Linked DNA regions of Drosophila melanogaster. The protein of the gene in region 4 interacts with the protein of the main gene of each other region in a pairwise test. Each region holds a gene or a part of one and is shown on either strand. Other genes may lie near its edges.

The links.
Region 1: the proteins of Elovl7 (region 4) and Ote interact in a two-hybrid assay, tested with the Drosophila melanogaster proteins (one large-scale study listed by BioGRID).
Region 2: the proteins of Elovl7 (region 4) and Tsf2 interact in a two-hybrid assay, tested with the Drosophila melanogaster proteins (one large-scale study listed by BioGRID).
Region 3: the proteins of Elovl7 (region 4) and CG34170 interact in a two-hybrid assay, tested with the Drosophila melanogaster proteins (one large-scale study listed by BioGRID).

What each region holds. Positions count from the first base shown.
Region 1 is NT_033778.4:18,274,518-18,279,907, reverse strand, and holds Ote (otefin), read left to right. Parts: upstream 1-2,730; 5' UTR 2,731-2,828; coding exon 2,829-4,103; 3' UTR 4,104-4,301; downstream 4,302-5,390. Other genes in the region: pen-2 (presenilin enhancer), read right to left, coding at 1,839-1,978, 2,053-2,157, 2,227-2,287. UniProt on the Drosophila melanogaster protein: Inner nuclear membrane protein. Involved in the attachment of membrane vesicles to chromatin during nuclear assembly, and is probably required for centrosome maturation and cell cycle progression during mitosis.
Region 2 is NT_037436.4:12,529,102-12,536,105, forward strand, and holds Tsf2 (transferrin 2), read right to left. Parts: upstream 4,624-7,004; 5' UTR 4,512-4,623; coding exon 4,451-4,511; intron 4,378-4,450; coding exon 3,950-4,377; intron 3,871-3,949; coding exon 3,737-3,870; intron 3,672-3,736; coding exon 3,511-3,671; intron 3,452-3,510; coding exon 3,000-3,451; intron 2,937-2,999; coding exon 2,772-2,936; intron 2,706-2,771; coding exon 1,647-2,705; 3' UTR 1,335-1,646; downstream 1-1,334. Other genes in the region: nst (nesthocker), read right to left, coding at 1-147, 834-934; CG34242 (uncharacterized protein), read left to right, coding at 4,966-5,142; Pmm2 (phosphomannomutase type 2), read left to right, coding at 5,554-6,318; CG4069 (uncharacterized protein), read right to left, coding at 6,411-7,004. UniProt on the Drosophila melanogaster protein: Iron-binding protein and component of septate junctions that form the paracellular permeability barrier in epithelial tissues.
Region 3 is NT_033779.5:17,309,961-17,313,973, reverse strand, and holds CG34170 (uncharacterized protein), read left to right. Parts: upstream 1-2,153; 5' UTR 2,154-2,214; coding exon 2,215-2,403; 3' UTR 2,404-2,506; downstream 2,507-4,013.
Region 4 is NT_033777.3:7,992,094-7,998,388, reverse strand, and holds the start of Elovl7 (ELOVL fatty acid elongase 7), read left to right. Parts: upstream 1-2,536; 5' UTR 2,537-2,966; coding exon 2,967-2,969; intron 2,970-6,295. UniProt on the Drosophila melanogaster protein: Catalyzes the first and rate-limiting reaction of the four reactions that constitute the long-chain fatty acids elongation cycle.

The DNA.
Region 1 (5,390 bases), on a different chromosome or scaffold from region 4:
TCTTGGCTGCCTCAACGAGTCCTTTCGATGCTGATGCATCGGCGGTCGAGGAACCGAGAGGAACACAGAATCGACTATTTATATGCATAAGTATTTTTTGATGTTTCGTTCGATGTGGTTAACTATAACTAGCCTAAGGTATCACTACTATTACCACATACAACCTATACATATATAAATATATATAGCATAACTACATATAGCGACTTTTTCCTAAGTGTATTTGCATCTGCATATAGATATCTATATTTATATTTATATCATACGAGAGAGGCGTAATCCGAACATGAACAAACACAACCAACAAACAGATTACATGAAACATGCAAAAAATGAAAGGGAAAAAAACGAATCAAACTCGATACTGTAGTGTGTTGATTTCTTTGTAAAAAAAAATAAAAACTAAACGTACGAGAAATGAAATTAAGAAAAGATCGAAATGTATGAATATTGTTTAACTAAATGATTAAATTATGCAAGTAGAACGTACAAGATTAGCATTTAGCGTGTGTATTAATTATCCTTATCTGTGTTGCGGATGGAGCTGCGCGGGATTTGCATCTAAAAGACAAATTGGGCGCGCCGCCCATTCAATTCTTATAAATATAAATATATATTATGTGTATCTAAATCTATATCTGTGTGTGTACTACTCGTATCCGTAGTTTCTACTTTATAAGTTCTCCGTGAATGACTACGATGAATTTTTCGGCCAGCAGCCGCACATTAATTTTAATTGTTTCTAAGCATCAATTTGTACTTTAAATATTTATACGCATATGCTGCATATATGATATGATAACGATGGCGAGATATATATGTAATTAAAGGATTATCTATGTGAATGTGGGTGTGTAGTAATTCACTAGCCGCTTCATAGACTCTACACGCGTGATTTATGGCACTTAATGTTCTGTAGCCTAAGCCCAAAAAAAAAGAAAAACTGAATGAGAAAGCTCCCATCTGGCCCTCAAAAATCCCGCTTCCTATCCCAAATACACATTGATTCTTTAGAATTTATAAATAAAACAAGTATTGATTGTAAATATACCTTAAAGCGAGTCTTTTGTATTGTAAATTAGTTCCACTGATTGATTTGGTGGCCCTGCTTAGGTGCTTTGCCACCAAGTTCGTGTTATAAACATTAATACATAATATTGTAATTTACTATATGTGTTGGCAGCATTTGCTGTTAACCGCAAACGAAATGCAAGCGATTTACCGAATAATAGCAATTTGAATTATGTCTTCATGTGTAGATCGGCGAGTGTTTTCCTTACACTCATTTAGGAGTCGCTAGGTTTTTTGACATTCTTAATGCAATTTGTAATCAAATCGTAGGAGGCATTCGACTCACGGATACAAACACACAACATAACAAAACAATTAAATGGGATTTAACAAATTACCATAATGGCTTATGCAACGGTACAAGCAGAGTTTTATACAAATTATGTATTTTAGAGATGGATAAAGCGCATTGAATTGAATTCGAAACAATGAAATTGTATCTAAGCAAAGAATGTAATCCACAAAATGGCTAACTAAAGCTAAATCAAGCATTCAAATATGGGCGGACGAATATGAACAAAACACATAACTAGCGGCTAAGAAATTTCAACAAAATATAGTACACATATTTAAAGTATACAGAAAATTATAAAAAACAAAAACAGCTTTAGATGTGAATAAAAAATATGTAATTAAATCAAAACAGCACTTCTTTTGTTTGGGTCATATACGGGAACTTCTGATGGATTAATAATAAACGTTAATTTTGTTTAGGAATGAAGTCTTTTTTAATATCATTAGTTGCTAACGAATTAATCTAGTTATGTCTATGCACTGCCTAGGGGTATGATGAAGCTCATATAGTCCGCTGTGGCGCCCCAGGCTGTGCGATTTGTCTGGAATATTATTATCCAGGCAGTTAGTACTATCAGCCAGAATAGAGTCCCCACTGCAGAGTATATAACATCTGGAGGAAGGTAGGAAAGAAATTGTGGAATATTAGACTGTATGGCATGGGCATCTATTCATATATTGACTTACATCTCTTTATTTGGCTCTGCTCCGAAAATGGTGGCTTATGGAAGGCCTCCGTGAAAAACCAGCAAACGTTAATGGCCCACACAAAGGGCAGAAATGCAAAGCCAGCTAAGTTCGAGACAAATAGAAAGTAACTTGGTTAAAATCCAATCATTACTCATTGGTAGTAACTCTTACCAAAGAAGTATTTGCGACACAGCTCCAGTTTTCGCGGATTTGGTGCCTTTGAGATGTCCATGATTAATCCTCTTCAAATATGTGGGTGTTTGCTCCTTTGTTTTCGAATCTGTTTCCGGCCCAGGAAAGTTTTTTCGTACTTATATGTAAATTGTATGTAATATGTAAATTGTAATAGCTTATATTTTCACTTCAATTTTTGCTTTTGTTGATTTGTGTTTTAGTTTTTAGTCCATTGGAGCGCAATCGATATCGATAAGTTATCGAAACAGAGGTGAGCTAAACTGCGACTCTTGGATCACTGTTTCATTTGCCAATATCTAACGTAAATAACGATATAATAATATAGCATAGATGTTTTATTACGTTTGCACGATTTTGCGATGTGTGCGATGATTAGTATGAAACATCATTCCTTGTGTTCCCTTTTTTTAAAACGCCAAAACTGTTACAAGTCAAGCCCACTTCAGTGTTGTATATCCCCTAAAACAGAATCATCGATAGGTAATACTGCTGCCATCACTATTTTAGCACACACCGCGTAAAAGCGACGCCGATTTCAATTTTCAACGAATTATTAAAAGTGTGCGAAAAACCATACAATGGCCGATGTGGACGATTTTGATTCTCTGTCCAATGCTGAGTTGCGCGCCAAGATGCTGGCACAGGGGCTGCCCAACATCCCCGTGACGGATAGCAGCCGGAAGGTTCTAGTAAAGCGTCTGCGCGCCTCCATTGGTGGCCAGGCGTCGCCGGCCGCTAGTCCCAAGAAGACCAACAGGCGGGAGACCCTGGCTCCCGCACCTGGTGCACCATCTGCTCCGGCGGCAGCCTCCACGCCGGTGGACAAGCTGGATGGCAACAAGGTGGCGCCCGCCACAAAGGCTCGGCGCACAATTACCGCTGCAGAGGCCAAGGAACCAGTGCGTCGATTACCCGAGGAAGCTATACGCCGACGCCCCGACGAAGCCGACCGCCTACGATCCGAGGAGCCCGTTGCCGCCAGGAAGCCAACAACTGCTCCTGCTGCTCAACCCGTACAGACCCGGCGCACTTCCACCTCCTCGGGGTCTGAAAGGAAAGTAGTGGAGCCCTTGAGGAAGCCAGAAACCATTGTTGAGCAACCGGCTTCCTCGAAGCGCGCTGATCGAGAGGAGAATTATCTTAAGGTCAACTCCCTGATTGTCCTAGAGTCCGATGAAGAAGAGGACGAGCAGCTAGTCCAGGCTGCAGATCTGGTGGAGCAGGAGCACGCGGCCAGACAGAAGACCACGAAGCTCGCAAGCAGCGGCACCACTACGTACGAGTACAAAAGCAAGGTTGTGGAGCCTCCACGCCGACAGGTCTATGAAGCGACAGCAGCTCCCGTGCTGCCGCCATCTGTGCCATCTGCCAGAGCGCAGACCACCAGTTCCACCAGGTCCTATGACTATGCGAGCAACCCAGCACCCGGTCGCTATAGCAGTTTTGTGCGTACTGCAGCCCAAGGCTATGTGACTGCAGAGGCTCCGCCGGTGGCCTCCTACTCATCCAGCTACAAGCGTACCTATGCTAACGAGCTGAGCGACGACACTGATTCCAAGGAAGACCAGTACGAAAGCACATTTGCCAGGAATCTAGCTCGTTTGCGAGCCGAACGGATTGGAGATCGCATCAGCCCGTATTCCAGACGCACTCTGGCCAGTGGAAACGCGGGTAGCGGTTCTCTCGGCTATGAGCCGCGTGCCAGGCGCTCCTTGCGCCCGAATGATAACAGCGTATCCGAGGCCTTTAACCGTTGGTTGAACAGCCTGGAGCAGAAGTATCACATCAAGTCGAAGCTGTTCATTGTACTCCTCGTCCTTTTGTTAATCGGCGTTTATTACATATTCTACTGACCGGCGCATCATTGTTCTTATTTCGAATTTGTAATCTAGTTTGTATACCATGTTGGATATGTTTTGTAAACAAGACTGCCGCCGCGGTCTTTGTATGAATCTTGTTTTGATGTAACTTGAGCTTGAGTTTGACTAGCATTTAAGCTGCGTGTTATCCGTGTTCAAATAAAGCCCACTTGCAGGGAATCTCCACAGTTGAACACTTGCTCTGATGTTTTTTCTCCAAACGGCTTTCGATTCACTGCGCTCCACTTGTGGCAGGTGTTTGCCCAGATTGGATCAAGAAACAGCAGCAAACGACGATCGGCTAATGATGGAAAAGTATCTGGAATGCGTGTACAACACTTGTCGGCATGACTCTGACCAAATGTAGGCGCAATGGCAACCAGGCAAGCGCAGCTCTTATCTGAGCTAAATTGTTCCTGCTGCGATCTGATCTGCGATCCTTGCAATGCCTTGCAATCAGAATTAATAAGAATTTTACAAGTCGGCTCGGCGGCCGGTGTGCGTTATTTTAAAATCCTTGCCCGAGTTGGGCTGTTTAATTTTATTAACTGGAAATCGCACTTGCGCGTATTTCTTTATTTTCTTAAGGAAATTTCGCGCCATATTTAGCGGTAACAAGCGCGACCGGATCCGGGTCTGACTTGCATGCCAGCAATAAGTTATGAAAATTGCAACATCAGTGGCTCGGGGGAAATGCCAGTTGTGCTGGGGATGTTGCTGCCACGGCTGCCACGGCCGCCACGACCGCCAGTCGCCGCCGATGATGAATTCCACAAATGCATGGAACAGCCAGGCGGCAGATTCCTTGAAAAACAAAGCCATGGCCCATACAATATATCGTGTGGCTAATAAATACGCCGCGCATTGCTAGTTGCTCTTAATGAAATTAACTTCCAGGAATTACCTACATGGCAGCAACGATGCAGACGACAACCACGATCACTTTGACGACTGTCCCGAAGTGCAACAAAGCAACTGCAACAGTCGCAGCAACAGTCGCAGCAATTCGAAAAGGCAACAATGGCTGCTTAGGCAAATGCAACAAGCCATCGGCCATGGAAATTAAATGGAAGCCTGCAAAAAGTTTCACGCACTCGACACGTTAATAGAGTCGTAGCACCCAGAGCAACATCAGGTCCACCAGCTGCAGCAGCAGCAGCAGCAAAACCACCAGCACCAACACCCAACACCAGAACCCCGCAGGAACATCAGCGCCCAAGAGCAACACACCCGCGTCCCAGCAGCTTCCCATCTTCGGTTGCCGCCGCTCAAGTGTGACAT
Region 2 (7,004 bases), on a different chromosome or scaffold from region 4:
TTGGGATCGACCAGCTTCACTCCGTTGTCCGGCTCCGGATTGTGCGATGCCGTGATCATCACACCGATGACGGAGCCTCCGCGATACCGGGAACGCAGGGTGGCCAGAACGCCCATGCGGAACATCACGCTGTCCAGGAACTCAGCCCTAAAAAAAAAATGCGGAGTTATTACATCAGGATTTTGTTTAGATACAAAAGTATCTTTTAGCTTGTATTTTGGAGTTGGAAAATGTTTTGTACCTAATGTTGTTTGTTTATATGTGTGTTATCACTTTAGCTATCTATTTTATCTTCGCTGGATTGATAAGCCTATAGAAGCACTGTGTATTGCTCATTTTAGGCGTTGCAATTGCTTTTATCAGTAGGTGTGTCATGGAAACTTTGTTATCTGGCTGTAAAGTGGTTAGAAAATAAGGGCGCGGAAACCACAAACTATGTAATCAAATACTTAGTTGGTTCATTTTTCACAAATAACAAGTTATTAATCATTGAGATTTGAAAATATTGCAACTTGCACATGTGGCACTAGTTCGCTGCCCGCGACTGTGCGTCAGTATGTATGCACATATGCACATGCACGCACACTTACGCACATACAGGCAGACATAACGGCGAAAGAAGGGCATGTCCATTGATAAAAGGTGAACAATATCTAAAAATAAACGCCAAATTCCAACATCACAGCCCTGCAACCGCCCATTTATCAAAAAAAAAAAAAAACCACCAACAATCGCCGTGTGCTAATCAAATGCGCCAACGTGTGCATCGTGTGGGTGTGTTAGCATAATGATTATGATGATTATTAAGATCGTTAATGGAGGCAACTACTCACTTGCCGCGAAAGCCAGCTGTTCCATATTGGATGGTCTCCTTGGAGGTCTTTGGGTACATCTCGCGGGCGAAGGCGTAGACGGTGCGCAGGTTAATAGACATCTTGCGATACTCGAGGGCGGTGCCACTGGTCCAGAGCGAGGTGAAAGGTTCCGTCCGGTTTTTCCGGACTTTCGAAATTTAACAATTCCACAGATGTGTGCAGGCGGGTGTGACCGTCGTTTCGCGGCACTGTTCCACCCTTGCTTATGCGGCCAAGCGGTCACACTGCGCTGAAACTTGTAACTACGCTATTTTCTTTAATTTCAAACATTTTACTGGCTTTATAAACAATACAGAGTGTTTTAAGGTTAAATGCAATATTTACCAGCGTAAATTTCAATAACATCTATGTTTCAAAGCGATGTTAGCGCACATATTCAATTTGAATTTGGCGGCTACAATTGCGGTCAAGATATTAGGATTCTTCAAATGATACTAATTCAAAATAAGCAAAATAACTCCTTTATCTAGTTATTTTATTTGTATACTTACATAAGCGGTTGTAAAAGATTCGGCTTACATCTCCTAGGTACATTTTTTGGACGGTCTTAGTTGGTATGTACACAAACAAATACTATAATAAGGCACAGGACTTTATAAATTATAAACTATAGCCTTCAACAGATATTTTTCGGCTAGTTAGAGTTTCATTTTCGGACGGAAGGGATTTCACATTTAACTTAATCATATTTGGAATGTAAAAATGTTGATATGTTTTCTCTTTGTGCTAGAGATGCTTGTAGAATTCTGAAATCTAAGTGAGTCTAGTGGCTTAGAGCATTGCAACCAGCGAACCCACGAGGAGCAGGCCCACGGATAATGCCAACTGGGAGGCACCAGCATAGCAGTCGGTGATGCGGCGTGCTCGCATAAAATCGCTGCCCAAATAGGCATCATACCTGCGCTTATTGGGCGGAATTACTTGCAGCTGCCGCGTGGCGTCCTGGAAGATCAGATCATAGTGCCCGATCGGCGAGGAGAACATGCTGAAACTGAAGGCGTCCACTTCCTTGCGACCGTACAGTTGTTGGGCATAGGTCAGCAGATTGATGTAGGCATTCATCTGGGTCTCGTTGTAGTTGACTCCGCCGCGGGTGACCACAGCATTGGCCTTAACCTTGCCCAGATTGCAGCGCTTGTAGTCCTGGATCTCGGCACGAGTACCATCCGTGCAGAGCAGCTCAAAGTCATCGTTTAGGGCATTCCTGGCCCACCATTCCTTGCGTTTGCCGCCCGTGCTTTCCATCACCGTGGTGTGCTTCATGAAGGCCACGTGACCGCCGCCCTCGACGAGGCAACGGAATGCACCCGTGTGCCCGTAGTATTCCTCGGAGGCATCGCGACGACAATAGCGATAGCTAGTTCCATGACACAGATCGCACATGCTGTCGTAGGGCACACCGGTGTTGTACTCATTGCTAATGGCACCCGGCACGCACGACTTGGTGAAGTACTCCGCGGCAGCTCGAACCGAATCGCATCCGTAGGGACGAATCCAGCCGTTCGAGATGAAAAGCGCCATCGGATATGTCCAGCCAGCGGCGGTGTTAATGCCCGTATGGCAGGTATTCTTACCCTTCAGGTAAGTTAGCTCCGTATCGGGATCATCCTCCTTGGCCACGGCAACCACATAATACTCGGGCTCGCCCAGATTGTACACCTCCGACATGAAGGGCACCAGGTCGTAGTTGAGGCCACCAGTGTAGACATCGCCGGCATCGAAAACGGAGATGTCTGCTTTGCCCGCTTCGATGAACTGCATGCAGTTGATGTGGGAGTGCATTTTCTTGCAGATGAGTTCTGGTTTCAGGAGGTGAGCTTTCAAGGCAGTCTAAAAGTGTTTTTGTAAAGGATCATCAACTCATCTTGCTATCCATATATTCACTCTTCAACTCACCCTCATCTTGATGCATTTATCAAGCTCATTCTCCGAAGTCACGCAAAGCGTCATCGCTGGAACTGGACACTCACGGATGCCGTAGATAAAGTTAATGGCAGGGCCTAGGTACTTGGTAAATGACTGATCATCTTCGGGAATCACGGTTAGAGCGCGACTAGAATCCTGTCACAAAACAATTGAATGTTAAGTATGTATTTCGGATCACGGAAAATATGATCCACTTACCTGGAACAGCAAATTTGGCTTGCCATAGCGCTTCGACTCGAAGATGCGGAACTTCTCATAGAGTATGGAAGTGTTCGTGCCGTCCTGCTGGTTTCTTTCCTCTGCAAAACTGCTGTCCAATCGTTCGCTGCGATACTGATCGTATTGATTCTGCGTTCTGTACGGATCATTATTATCGAACTGGCCATAGGCATTCTGATCGTTGATGTTGTTGCGGCTGTTGAAGCTTTGTCCTCCCTGCCTGCTCTGATCATCACGTGTGCCATCGGAGTACAGCTCGGCAATGCGCTTCAAAAACTGCTGATACTGCTTGCGATCGCTGAAGCTGCGAGCCGAAGATGTGACAATGGCATCGGCGGGCACTTGGCCCCAATTACACTGGCGATAATCGTTGATGGAGGCACGACGACCATCACGACACAGCAGCTCAAAAGTGTCGGGTGCTATGTTCTCTAAAAAACGCAGCTTAGATCAGTAATGGGTTTTCAGAAGTTTCCCTTTGGTAACTCACTGAATTCGGTGGTTTGCAGCATTTCATTCACAGTCGAATGGCGCAAGAAGGCAACATCTCCTTTTTCAAGCAGACATTTGAAGGCGCCTTCGTAGCCGAAGTAGGGATCTGCAGATGAGCAGCGTCCTCCGGGTATCTTTCCAGTGCAAAGCGTACAAAGTCTGGTTTGAAAATTGATTTGTTGTTAGTTAATGTGTGTAAAATTGTGGCTTTTATGCGTCATTACTTATCGGAGTTGTCGCCAATTGGATTGTGTTTGTCGGAAAGCGAGTACACAGCACACGAATTATTGAAATAGCTGGCGGCCGTCTTCACCTGGTTGTTGCAGTCCACCACTTCCATGCCGCCCTCCCTTTGGAGCTGCAAAACGATAAAATTTGTTTGTTAGTTGCCTAATGAAACAAATAAACAATCAACTTAAAAGAGGAGTTCTACTCACCGTGTGAATGGGCACAATCCAACCGGCCAAGCTGCCCACCCAGGGGAAGCACACCCTCTTGTTGCGCATGTCGCGCAGATTGTTCAAGTCTGGTAGAGATCCCTTCTTGATCACGGCTACGGATTGATAGTCCGCAAAGCCGCCCTCCAGTTTCTCCTGCATAATGGGTATGAGGGAGTTGTACCGTCCAGCAGTGAAGACATCGCCCGCATCCAGCGTGGTGATGTGTGCCTTCTCGCGATCAATGTGATGGATGCACTCATCCGCACTGTAGGCCATGAAGCAGGTGAGATTGAGGAACACCTCGTCGAATAGTGCCCGATCCCGCTCGATGGCCACCGTAAGGTTCTGGCATTTGTACTGCTCCGCCTGGCTCTTGGTGCACCACACCATCCGTGTGGTCTTGTGCTCATCGTAGTGATGTTGTGCTGCAAAATCGTGGTTTTAACTCATGCCAACGCCCTAGAAATGGGCGACTTTCGTATTCCAGCCGCAACTTACCGTTAGCGAGCGTAAAACATAAGGCGCCGACTAGAGCCACAAAAACGAGGCTGCTAGCCATATTCGGGATATAAGAATATTAATAAGTGTATTAACTAAAAAGATCTATCTGCAAAAACAATTACTCAAACAAAACACCACACCCAAGCCCAGCTCAAGGAAGCCAGTGTAACCAGAGCGGGCAGAAATAGACATGATTTCAAAAAATACCAACAGGTACACACAGTGGAGAATGCTTAAGTGAGATATGAATCAAGAAACATATTTAGCATTCAGGATATTTCTAGTTTAATCTATACCTATATCTATTTTTATTATATATACAGTAATCTTGTTTATTTATATTTTACTTTCTATCAGGTTATCTCTTCTGTAGTATTTACTGCACTTCACCGGTGACCACAGTAGTGTGACCACACACTTGGCGTTTTCTAGCATCTTACGGTCAACCAGGTGTTTTGTGTTTTATAATAACAAACCGAAAAGTCAGCTAAAATATTCCATATTTTAGCTAAATGGCAGTCCTGCGTGGTTGGAGATTCGTTGGATTCGTGTCCTGCATCGTGGGCGCCGTGGGCCTCACCCTATACCCCGTCATTGTGGACCCCATGGTTAACACTGAGAAATACAAAACCCTGCAGGAATACAGCAAAATCAAGAGAGATGAACTGCAGCACATTAAAAGGCAGTAGAACCCCCTGTTATGCTACACTTAAGAACCCAAATATGTGTATTCTAGTTTGCCTGATAAAGAACTGCAATGTACAAATTGCTATTAAAATAGAAACTATTTGTACCCTGACAGCATGAACTCCATGAATTAAACTGTTACCTATACATGCAGGAAAATCCAAATGATTGTGCTTGAATGTTTATACTCTCATTGTTTTAAATAGTAAACCTAACGTAAAAGGCAATTCAAAACATTAATTTTGATTGCACTTGGATTCCGGAACTGGTTCCCCTTGCCGGTGCATCGAAAGCTTTAGGGGATTTCTCACCACTGCGTTGCCGCTTGTAAAATTCTTTATCTCGAATCATACGTGGACATAAATATCTGGATATTAAACACCTGCTGATTTACCACAAAATTTAAATGCAAAATGACCACCGCCGCATTGAAGCGTGATGAAATCCTGCTGCTCTTCGACGTGGACGGCACGTTAACGATGCCCAGATCCGTGGTCACTCCGGAGTTCGAGGAGTTCTTCTACTCGCGGGTTAAGCCGAGGGCGACCATCGGAATCGTCGGAGGCTCGGATCTGGAGAAGATGTTCGAGCAGCTGAATGGCAGGAAGATACTCAACGAGTTCGACTTCATATTCCCGGAAAATGGGCTGGTGCAGATTGAGGGCGGAAAGGAGGTGGGAAAGCAGAATATCATCATGCATTTGGGCGAGGAGACGGTGAAGCGTTTCATCAACTTTGTGCTGCGCTATCTGTCCGAACTGGATGTGCCCATCAAGAGGGGCACCTTTATCGAATTCCGGAATGGCATGATGAACGTTTGTCCCATTGGCAGGCAGTGCACTCGGGAGGAGCGCAACATGTTCGCCGAGTACGACATTGAGCACAAGGTGCGCGAGAAAATGATCAAGGACCTGAAGCAGGAGTTTGCCGATGTGGATCTCACGTACTCGATTGGTGGTCAGATCAGCTTCGATGTCTTCCCGCATGGTTGGGACAAGACCTACTGCCTGCGACACATCGAAGCGCACTACAAGTTCAAGGAAATCCACTTCTTTGGCGATAAAACGGAGCCGGGCGGCAATGACTATGAGATCTATAGCGATCCTCGAACCATCAGCCATAGGGTATATACTCCCAAGGATACGCAACGCATTCTCACCGAGATTCTGGAGCTGTGAGAATTTCGAGCTTACTCAGCAGTTGAAAATATTCCATTTTTATACATGTGTACAATTGTTAACCAAATTTAATATATAGTCACTGGAAATTCTTAATCCGTGTCCATGTCCGAGCTGCTGCTGGAGATATCCTCCTCGCTGCCACTGCACTCCTCGTCGGAGCTGCTGCTGTCGCTATCCTCCCATTCGTGGCCCTTCAAGCTATTGGGGATTAGCACCTTCCATTCCAGTTTGTGCAAGTCCAGGGCGTAGAAATCGTTGTAGGTCAACTGCTTGTCGTCCTCTTCGAAGATGCCACCGAAAATATACAGCGTTCCCTTGCACACGCACATGCCGGGATTCATGCGCGGAGATGGCACATTCGTCGGCTTGGGTTTGGCGAATAGGCTGGGTATTTTGGACACGAATGGCGTGGTACTGGTACTGGGACCGCCAACGGTGACCGTGAAAATGCCATCCGTGGTGGTGGTCACTGGCTTATCAACAGCCGACATCTCCACATCTTTGCTCTCCTCCGAATCCTTTTTCTCAGCGCTGCTGCTTTTAGTTTGGATCTCCTGCAATCTCCATGTTTGGGAGGTCAAATCGAAGGCCAGGAGATCATCGCCGAACTGTCCGTGCACATCTTCGTCGTCCTCATCGACGTCCATAACGCCACCGAAGGTATAGGCCTTGCCATTCGCAGC
Region 3 (4,013 bases), on a different chromosome or scaffold from region 4:
CCTGGTCTTTTGTCCGGGATCCTATATGCCGGATCTCCTATTCGCTTTGGCTGGCCAAAAGACCATTAAAGCTATTTTTTCTGCCCATTCAGCATTCAATAGAAATTTACATCACGTCGAAAATTTTTACATACGCATGTGTGTATATGTCCTTTGCTAAAAGGACATTTTGTGATGGCCAGAACGATGGGACTGGGTGGGGTATGTGGTTATGTGGTGGCGAAAGTCGCGTTGAGCATACTAACACTTTTTTGTATGTTTGCTTAGCTTAGGTTTTTACCTGGCAAAAACGCAGCAGGGGTTGGGCATCGGATTGTGGCAGCCTCGAAGTAACAATAATAAAAGCCGGGCGGAGGGAAACAAAATTGATGTTCCCTGCTGCAGTAGCTACATACATATATGGCAGGAAACTATATTGCCACATAGGCAATTTCATTGTGCGATATACATATATTCTGGCAGATATGTTAGGGACCCTGAGCAAATTGGTTTACCCGGCTTACCCTTTTCACACAACTTTAGTTGAACTCCCACTACACAACTGAAAATAAAAAGGTAGTTTAAGAAGCTAGTTTGCTTATAATATATGGGATATGTAAAGCATTGATAAAAAGTCAATTACAAAGGTTTTGTAAATGTAATTGTTGTAATTCGTAGCACACTTTTACGCATACAAAATTTCCAACAACTTGCCCCTTTTAGTTAAATATTTAATTAAATGTTGTAATGCAGTTTAACATATACATTTTCACTCAAACTTTGTACCACCATTTTGTTGCCTTCCAGGTAGAAGAGGTAAAAGGGGGAGTGGACCTTGAGAGAGTTGCACAATTTGCTAATTACCGCAATCAAAGTTTTCTTGTTGGGCAGCCAAAAACAGCTTCAAAAGCACAAAACTGATAAATTATAAATTAAAGGGAATCTCAGGAAAGTTGGCTCTTTCCCTATCTTTAGTTTACACAGCGAACTGTTGTGAGTATTCCCTCGTTTTTTTTTTTTTTTTATGCTTGGATTCGAGTGCATAATTTACGAGTTGAGCTCGCTGCCAATATTTCAATTACTCTACGGCATTTCGAGCAGTCTTCCTTCTTGCCTCCCTATCCCAGAAGCAATTTCAATTGAGCTTAGTGCTTGCGGAGTACTCTTTTCGGTAGGCGGTTTTGTCTCAGGGCGAAATTAGTGGCCAAAACTGCGGCAGATTACAGGCCAGGCCAAGAGCGAACTTCAAACAATTATTTGGCCAGCTGGGCTGGGAAGCTGGCTTTTAATTTGCTTAGCCCCTGCCCATGAATAATGCAATACGAGAAAGAAACGAGACCAAGAAGAATTTTTGTATAATTGCAGGGCGCACAAAATTTCGCTTAGAATCTCCTCGGGCCACATAATTGCTGAGTGGAAAGGGGCGGCAGAAAGTTAAATGTAAATTAAATATTTCCCTCGTCTTTTCTTTAGCAAAACGCAAGTTTTATCCGGCTCTTAAGTCAAATATTCACCTGCTACAGGAAGGCCAGTGAATTAACATGAAAATGAATGGACTTCAGGTGAAATCTTTATTACAAACAATTTGCGGTGTCCTGCGAATACAATGGTAACTAAAATAATTATTTTGAGAAGCTCTTTTATAATTTCCCGAAATATTACGTTAAATGTAAATTTTTGTTGTTTTTTATGCAAACAATTTAAGTATATACACCAGTTCGTTTTTATTTCCAGTGCCCATAATAAGCCCCGTTTCAACTGCTATTTGAAGGCACGATTGCATCGATTAATTATGGCTGTCATCGTGTAAATTGTGCTAAATTATTATTATCAATGTTGTTGGCCTGATGACAAACATTCAATTTCGCGAATGTGTCGCGCTCGACGGACACCCAGGATACAGATACACAGGACGACCCGTTGAAGCGGAGCGACCAAATTGCAATTGTGATATTGACAATAATGCAATCAAATAATCAATCAATTAATGTCTGCTTGAATTAATGCCGAATATTATGTGCTATCGTCAATGCCATCATTAGCACTAAATTCAATTACGTTGCAGGCATATCCTGTTGCCCTCCATGATGATTCATCATTGTTAGCGTACTTTTCCGATGAGGCACGGCGTACACGAATCCTAATCCCAGGAGCCTGTGGCCCACACATTACTCTCGGCCTTTAGAAAAACTTCAAAATTTGTGGCTTAAATTTGGGGAGCCGGAAAAATATTCCATGGCTGGATCACCTGGCGTTAAGGATAAGCTGAATCTGATTGTTGGCGGGGACATTTGCGAGGTATACCGGGATGGATTCAATTGCGGATCCTTTGGCTTCTGGTGCGGACTCGTCGGATTGGCCGTCTTCATAATTTTTCTCGCCTACTTTCATATAAATCGGGAGCGAATAGATCCGACGTCATAATCCCCCTAAATGTGGACAATTCTACATAAATGTGTCATAAATAAAAAGTAATTTAAAAAAAAGTACACATAAATCTTTTGATTTTGTTAAAAAAAACCCTTTTATTCCATTAAAGATTAAAGTTGGATCCAAAAAAAAAGTTGTGTAATGCATTCATTAGCGTGTTATATATTCTTTATGAGCTCTCCTTCACATACAAAGCTCTTTGAGTTGTCTCTCAAATGAAATCCCGTAATTCCGTCAATCCAAATTGATATTTTTATTCATCAAGCTCGATTTTCATGAAATTCATCCTTAAATCGTTGTTAAAAATGCATGTGCATATTTTTCTGCCGGCTCTTATTACCATGCACCTACATATTTATCACTGCTTGATGGACCCAAAACGGATGCTATGTAAATTTTTACTCGGTCGATACATTTGACAGAGCTCATATACACTCTCGTATATAAAATGCCTCAACTTCGTTTGATTTATGCATCATTCACGCGCAATTTATCGTAAAAATTACAAAAAAAGTTCAGCGCATAAAAAAGAAAATGGAAATTCACGTTTTTCGAATCTACAGACAAAGTGCACTGGCGTTAAAAGTCACGGGGGTCATTTATTGGGTAGTTTATAATGCAGTACAACATAACTGATTTCCAATGTTGTTTACTCAACTTACAAACATTTTGATTTACGTGTGTGCGGCACAGATATGTATTGATATATTGATATATATATATATATATATATATGTTCACGTATATCAATAACATCACCAGCAACAACATTCAACAACCAACAATAATAAAGAGGCTGACGGGCAGGCAGGCGTAAACCGAATCGTGTTTATATATTTACTTAACTTTTATGGTCCTCCCTTTGCCAACGTGGAAGTGTATTTGATTATGACAAACAAGTACAGCACGGCCTAAAATTAAAGTATTTGTTATAAAATTATAACAATTATACTATATAATTATAGTTCAATTAGTATGTAATAAGAAGATGCGCTTTAACCATCAATTTATTTATAATTTGAATTATTTTAGGGATTTAACTTCCAGTTGTAAAATCCCATTCGTAATCTAATGTTTTATATTTGTGACCTGATTTAGGGACTCAACGTATTTAAACATTTCATGCACAACTGTACGGAGGAAAATGCATACATATGTAGCGGAGTGGGAAAAGCGAAGTCAAGGTAGCGATGCATAAACAAATATTTGCAAAGCACAAAGCCAAAAAGTGGGTGGTGGGCGGAAATTCAGGGGATGTTCAGTGGGGATTAAGTGATGCCCGCCAGAAATGTCATATTGCACCGAAGCGTTTGGGTTAAAATACCACTCGTTTGTTAAGTGATTAACAAATTACGTTTAGGTATATTTGAAACAGTAAATATGAAACAGTAAATCGTGATGAAAAATATTTAGGCACACTTCTTTAATAAGCGGTGACTTTTAATTAAAAACTCTTTTAAAGAATTAAATTTTTCCTATGGATATTGCAAGTTGATCTACCTTTTCACTCTCTTCGTTCGTGTATCCTTTTCTTTGGTTGTTTACCTTGCACTTTTAGTGCACCTACCACTATTCATCGATTGGCCATATTTCTTGTTATTTTA
Region 4 (6,295 bases):
TGTTTAGGTTTTGCAATCCAACGTGTCGGCTGCTTTTGTGGTTTCGAGGGCTTTTGAGACTCCGGCATCGCGAAATCAACGCATCAATCATCTTCGGTTGCACAACTGCAGGGAGGTGCAGTCCAACCAATTGCAGCTTTTCCCAGATGATAATACCAGTTGCCTTCTACCAATATGCTCATTAGCACCAGTCCGATGTAAATTCTACTGCCTTGCTATATAATCGCTAGGGTGATTTTACGAGATTTGCAACCTTGAACTCTGGTTTTTTATTATTGCCAAGTGCGGATAAGGCCAATAATACTAACGAGAGTCCAAAAATAAACAAGCGCCACAAAGAGCTGGATCCGAGTCACAAAAACTCTCCTAAGCTTGGCCCAATAAACAATGGCTTTGGCCGGCGATCGACACCCACCACACCACCACCAAAATTGGTCGTGGTTCATCTGCGTGGCATCATTACGATCGTCATCTGGCGCGGCTCGTCCGATTGAGACTTGAATTGAAGTCGATATTTCTGGGCCGAAGGTTGCGCTATTAAGTATACGCCGCATGTGCTCGCCAAAAACCAAAAGCCAGACTAACGATGAGAAGCATCTCGGAAAAAAGTCATTGTACTCCGCCAGGGAATGAGCTCTGAATAACCTGATGGTTCCGGTCATTAGGTCCCCGTTTATTGCGGTTGGATCGATGGTCGGCAAAGGTGGATAAACGGAGTATATCAAATCGATCGGAAGTCGCGGCCAAGTTCCTTCAACTTTGCGATTATGCAATCGCATTGAGAAATTAACACACTGAACTCAAATGGTGAACTGGTGCACTTTCGTTAATGAATTTAATTAGATTATGAATATTTTTCAGATTGCTTTAACATTTCGATTTGTATGTAAATTTTCTGCAAATGCTCAAGGTTGAATCTCTGGGTATAAAGTGCTTATTTATTTTGATTTTTTGTTCACATAAATTTTACAACTAGGCGTGGCTTGCCGGCACCTAAAACTTGTGTTACAATATATTGTCGTGCGCGGCATTAGTTAAAGGACTAGTGAAGTGCATTCTAACTGGGAAAAACATATCCATGTCTGGTGAGTACAGTCGCAGTCTAAATTCTGATGATCAAATGGAAAATTTCAGAGCAAGCGGAAATATTACCTGCCATCTCTGTCCATATAAGGAGGATCATTCTGATCTAGCATGGTCAATTCATCGTGAGCTTTTCCTCTAGTCATACAGCCACTAGAAAGCCCTTGAATCGATCGTATTCATACTTCCCCCAATATGGCAGACGCGTGTTTCGGATCTGTGAGATGGGATCAGCTTAGGGCGACATGTCTATACATATTCATCGTCTCCCCCGCCGACTGTTTGCACATGTAAATTTGGCGCGGCTAGATTACATGGTCAGTTACGTGTTATTCGGTTAGAATTCCGCAAAAAGATCTTGTGCTCGGCGGCCATGCAGCGGACTTTGAGACGAAAAATGCAAATGTTTGCTTTGTTGCATTGCTTGGGTTTTTTGTCGAAAAACGCATCAAAAGTGCAGGGTAATGGTGAGATTTTTAGCAGGTAAATTAGAATAAAGGTAGTTGAAGGGTCGTTAATTGAGGGTAAGTAAATCGTCAACCAAGCCGCTGTCAAAGTTCGATCTAATTGCTTAGCTCACAAAAATCGACTACGTAACGTTTCAAGCTTGCACAAATAACAAGTAAGCGTCGGGTCCTCCGAAATATTAAGTATCCGCCAGGTTGCCTGCAACATCCAGGTCTCGGTAGCCGCTTTTCCCATTCGGGAATTTGTATGTTTCAGAAGTTCACGGCGCATTTTGGCCATTTATTGGCCATCACGAAGGCAAACGGAGGAAAGCCAAGTATTGGTCATTATAAATATTTAAGAGCCCAAGAGGCAAACTGGTTTGGTCAGCCCCATCTTCTTCTGCTTTTTACCGCATACGTATCCAAAGATTGGGCTTTGTTGCTGGCAACCTTTCCGCCGCTCTCCCTCGCCGTGATTTGATTTGATTTGATTTGATTTGTGGCTACGTTAATTTTTGCACACTTTTCCGATATGAAGGGCCGGGCCTGGGCAGGGGTTAATTAACGGACATTCTTGCCGAACTTTGAACTGTGCAATCATGCGCGCTGCCAAGACGCGGCAAAAGTACCGCTCCGATATTTGGATTGGCGGCAATTAGCGCCGCACTTGGGTGTGGGTGCAAAGGCGGGTGATACCCCCACTGGTGGATACCAAGAATTCGATTCCAAAGGGCCGCTGGCCGATCTCGCTCTCGCTCTGGCATCCTGACGCCCGACCCGATCGCTTCGGCTGTCAGAGCGAGAGCACACATCGACAACCTGTTGCTCAGAACCTGTGGCTAGCGACCGAAGCTTTCGACTTCGGCTCACCTCAACGCCAGCGCCATCGCCACGCTCGCCGAAAATGAGCGGTCGGCGGCGCCGACGATCTGCGTCGACGTCTGCGCCAAGTCCGCTCCTACGACTGCGAGGCGGTATAAAAGTAAAGCGGCAGCGTGAAATCAAACTTATTTCAGTGTTTTTGATTTGAATGTAAAAAGCGCACGCTCGCCCAGTCGCTGTCCAGTTGTTGTCCAGTAAAGTCCAGCGGAGCAGCAGCAGCGGCAGATCGGTCGCATCAGCAGTAGCATCAGCAGCAGTTCCCCGCAACAGTGATGTAGAAACCATAAAACCGTATAACGATGGTCAAACAGTGTGTGCGTGTGTAAAACAATAACTAAAAACCTACAAGCAAGAAAAACGAAAAAAAAAAACGAAACGAAACGAACAAGGATAGTGCGCTAAAAAGTGATAATTCGTATACCAAAGTCGAGAGAATCTCTGTAAATTAGTCAAAAAAAAAAAAAAGAAAAAATAAATAAATACAGTACGCTTCCTTGTAACAAACGGAATATAAACGCGCATTTAGTACCTGTTGAAGCGAATTTTAGCACAATGGTAAGTAGCGGGGGTTCCCGACCGAACACCCAGTGTGACTCAACGGAAAATTGATGCCACTGAAACCTCCTTTATTAAAATGCCTTTGCAACCAGTAATTTCGATGCCGACCCCCAACATGCAAGCCTGAATAAATAAATATACATGATCGTACGTTGACTTGGGCTTTCCGTTAAATCCCACAACCCACAAATGACCCTTTGCACACGACTCGTGTGTGCTGCTGCTGCTATTAAGCAAGAAATTAATAATAAAAAAAAAAATAAATAAAGCTCCTATAATGAATATCCGCAATGCAGCCGTTAAAATTAATTGAGCAAATTATTAATCGAGAAAACCTCTCGAGCACCAGCCATTCCTGGTTCTTATTCGTTTTCTTTGGAAATGGAAAAAAACCGCACGCCAGCAACTGGTTTTCGTTTTCAAGTACACATTCGCTAGCAAGGTTTTCCACTGTTTTTTCCCAAATGCATTTTTGCCGACTCCGCGCAGACCTTTCCACGCTTTTCGCCCACTTTTCCCCCGCTTTCTGCCACAAAACATGAGCGTTTTGCTCTGTTCTGTTTTGCTAGAGCCATTCGCTTTCGAGCTCCGCCAAAAGTGCATACAGAAACTGCAAGTGCTGCACTTATTTCGAAGCTGTCGCTGTGTTATGTCCGCAGTTGCAGCAGCAGCACTTACACCAGCAACATCACTGGCTGGCGGTCAAGTGAAGTGAAGGCTGGCTTTTGGCTTTGACCAGCTCACTAGCCCACCAGCTCACCAGCTCACCAGCTCACCAGCTCACCAGCTCACTGGCATGACAACATTTCACACGGAAATGCAGTGCATCGCTGACCTTGAATCTCGGCCGGGGATATGGGATAACTGGCGATCGGAGCGCAGGTGAAATGATAGCCAGTCAGGGCCAGGCCGACTCATTTGTCCCGTCCACCTTACTTATGCTTTCGGCCCATCATTGCAGATGCTGCTGCTGTGTAGAAATCCAGTGATTTTCATATTCATTCAGCAGCTCTGCAAATTCGAGAGAAAAAACCCCAGTGGGTTAACCAATCGCCGCCGCTACTACCGCTGGCTAATGATCACTGGCATTGCACCATTTCACAAAAAAAAAAAAAAAAGAAAAAAAAAAATAAGCAGGCAACCCAGAAATCGAAACTTATTCAAATCTTCGAGTTGTTTTCTTCTCCTTTTGGCCTCTTACACAATGATTATTACACCTCGATTTTATTTTCGACTGGGACTTTTGCCGCATTTTTGTGTTGCCTCTTTTGACACTGAAAAGTGCAAAGGCGCTGGCGGCGAATTTTACTAGTTGCCAGTTGGCTATGGGCGGCTATGGGCTATCGGGTCTGGGTTGTTTGAGGCTGCTTGTTGGAGCCAGAGCCACTGCCACCCAGCTGCCAAACTGCGCAGCCCCCGCCAAGTGATCATAATAAAAAAAAATGTGCCTTAATCAGCCGATTTGCTTGCATTCCCTGTGGGCCAGTTAGCTACATTGGAGAGCCAGTCTCAGACGCATTGACGTCGCTTTATTGTTGACTGCCGCTCGGCACTCAGCTGTTTTTTGGTAAGAGAATCATGTAGAGAGCATATAGTAAACACAAAACCATAGGCAGAGTGCCCTCTTAGTACTTAGTGTGTGTGTGTGTGTGTGTGTGTGTGTGTGTGAGATAACGCTTGCCGCATGTGACTGAAATCGCAGTGCATTCGCTGCTCCATTTCGATTTGTTTGGCTCCACACGGCGTATGCGCGATTTTCTCAGTAGCTAGCTAGTCTTCGTTCACTTCAATTGCGAATATGCCATTTGGGCAAAGGTTTATTGTTCTACATAAAAAAAGTGCGTGTCTCTCAGCAATTTTTTTACTGGCTGTGTATATTCCCGAGCAAATTAACACTTAAAAACTGATAACGCAAGCGAAGAGAGGAATTCGAGGTAGATAAACGTAAAGAGACCATTAAACGGAGAGTACCTGAAAATGATTACATTTATGGACTCTTATCGGCCCGTGATTGAAGTAAGTGTCATTTGAAATTCAATTATTGCTCGTTGGAGATTAGACAGAAAAGTTATGCCAGTAAAGGTGTTAAAAACACTAAAAATAACAGCTTTTAAATTATTATTCAAACACGCTGGCTTGCATATTTTACAGCTCTTTGAGTGCCTTTTTTTTTTTGCAATTTTATACAAACTCTTCGTTCCCGAAAAAACAATTAATTTATACATATTTGTCGCTTTAAACTGGGTCGGTTGGATGAATTTATTTGTATAAATTAAATTATTTAGTGGGCCATGCTGTCATACCGAATTCGTGATTAAACATATTTCCATTAGTGCGAATTTAGATGGGACTTAGGTGCTAAAGTTGTTCGATTTTGTTTTTAAGTATTTTAAAAATGTTTAATAATATTTTCTAAATAATTTCCTTGTCGTACAACAATAAATTACAAATAAATTCCATTTTAAAGCAACGAACGCATTTGCAGTAATATATTTTCGACACATTTAATCCGAACACAAAATAATTAAATCAACATCAACATTGTGGGGCTAAAGCAAAATTTAAATTAGTGGACAGAAACAACCTGATAAATACGCGAATGTAAAGTGATTGAGGAGCTAAAAGTCATTGCTTGTTTAATTGTGTGGCTAGTGATTTACGGGCTTGGGGGCAGAGAACTTTAGGCTGGGAAATGGCAGCAGGGACGAAAACCAAAGTTCGACATTCCCAATTCGAATTGCATATTATGCCTGAATGCCTGAATCCAAATGGTATGGAACCATTTTTAATGCAATCGTCTAACATAAACGTTCACGAAAAAATCAACATTGGCGGCCTGACAAACGCAATGTAGAATGAATCAGCTAAAATATATCCCCCGAATTGAGGCTTTCAAATGGTATTTGGGGAACTCACTTACACTTACGCACATTTAGCCAACCTGTTGAGTATTTGCAGCTGTGCACTTGACTACTGGCTGAGTTTTTAGTTGCTGCAAAAACTGCTTTGCACTGAAAGAAATTGGTAATCATATAATCTTATTAACCAAAAAATAAAAATGCTCAAAGGTTTCGAATTTTCCAAAACCTATTGAAACTTCTTCATATTACCATATTTCTGACTGACCTAAATAGTTAGTGAATAATGTGGAAAATTAAATCTATTCAATACTTTATTTGCATAATCAAATCATTCAGATGACGAAACACGCCCAAATAAAATGTATATTAGTTAATTAATATTGATACATAATCAGTTAACTTGACTGTTGACCAGATTGATCTTCATTCATTGTAATATTTTAAATATTAAACAAATTGTGT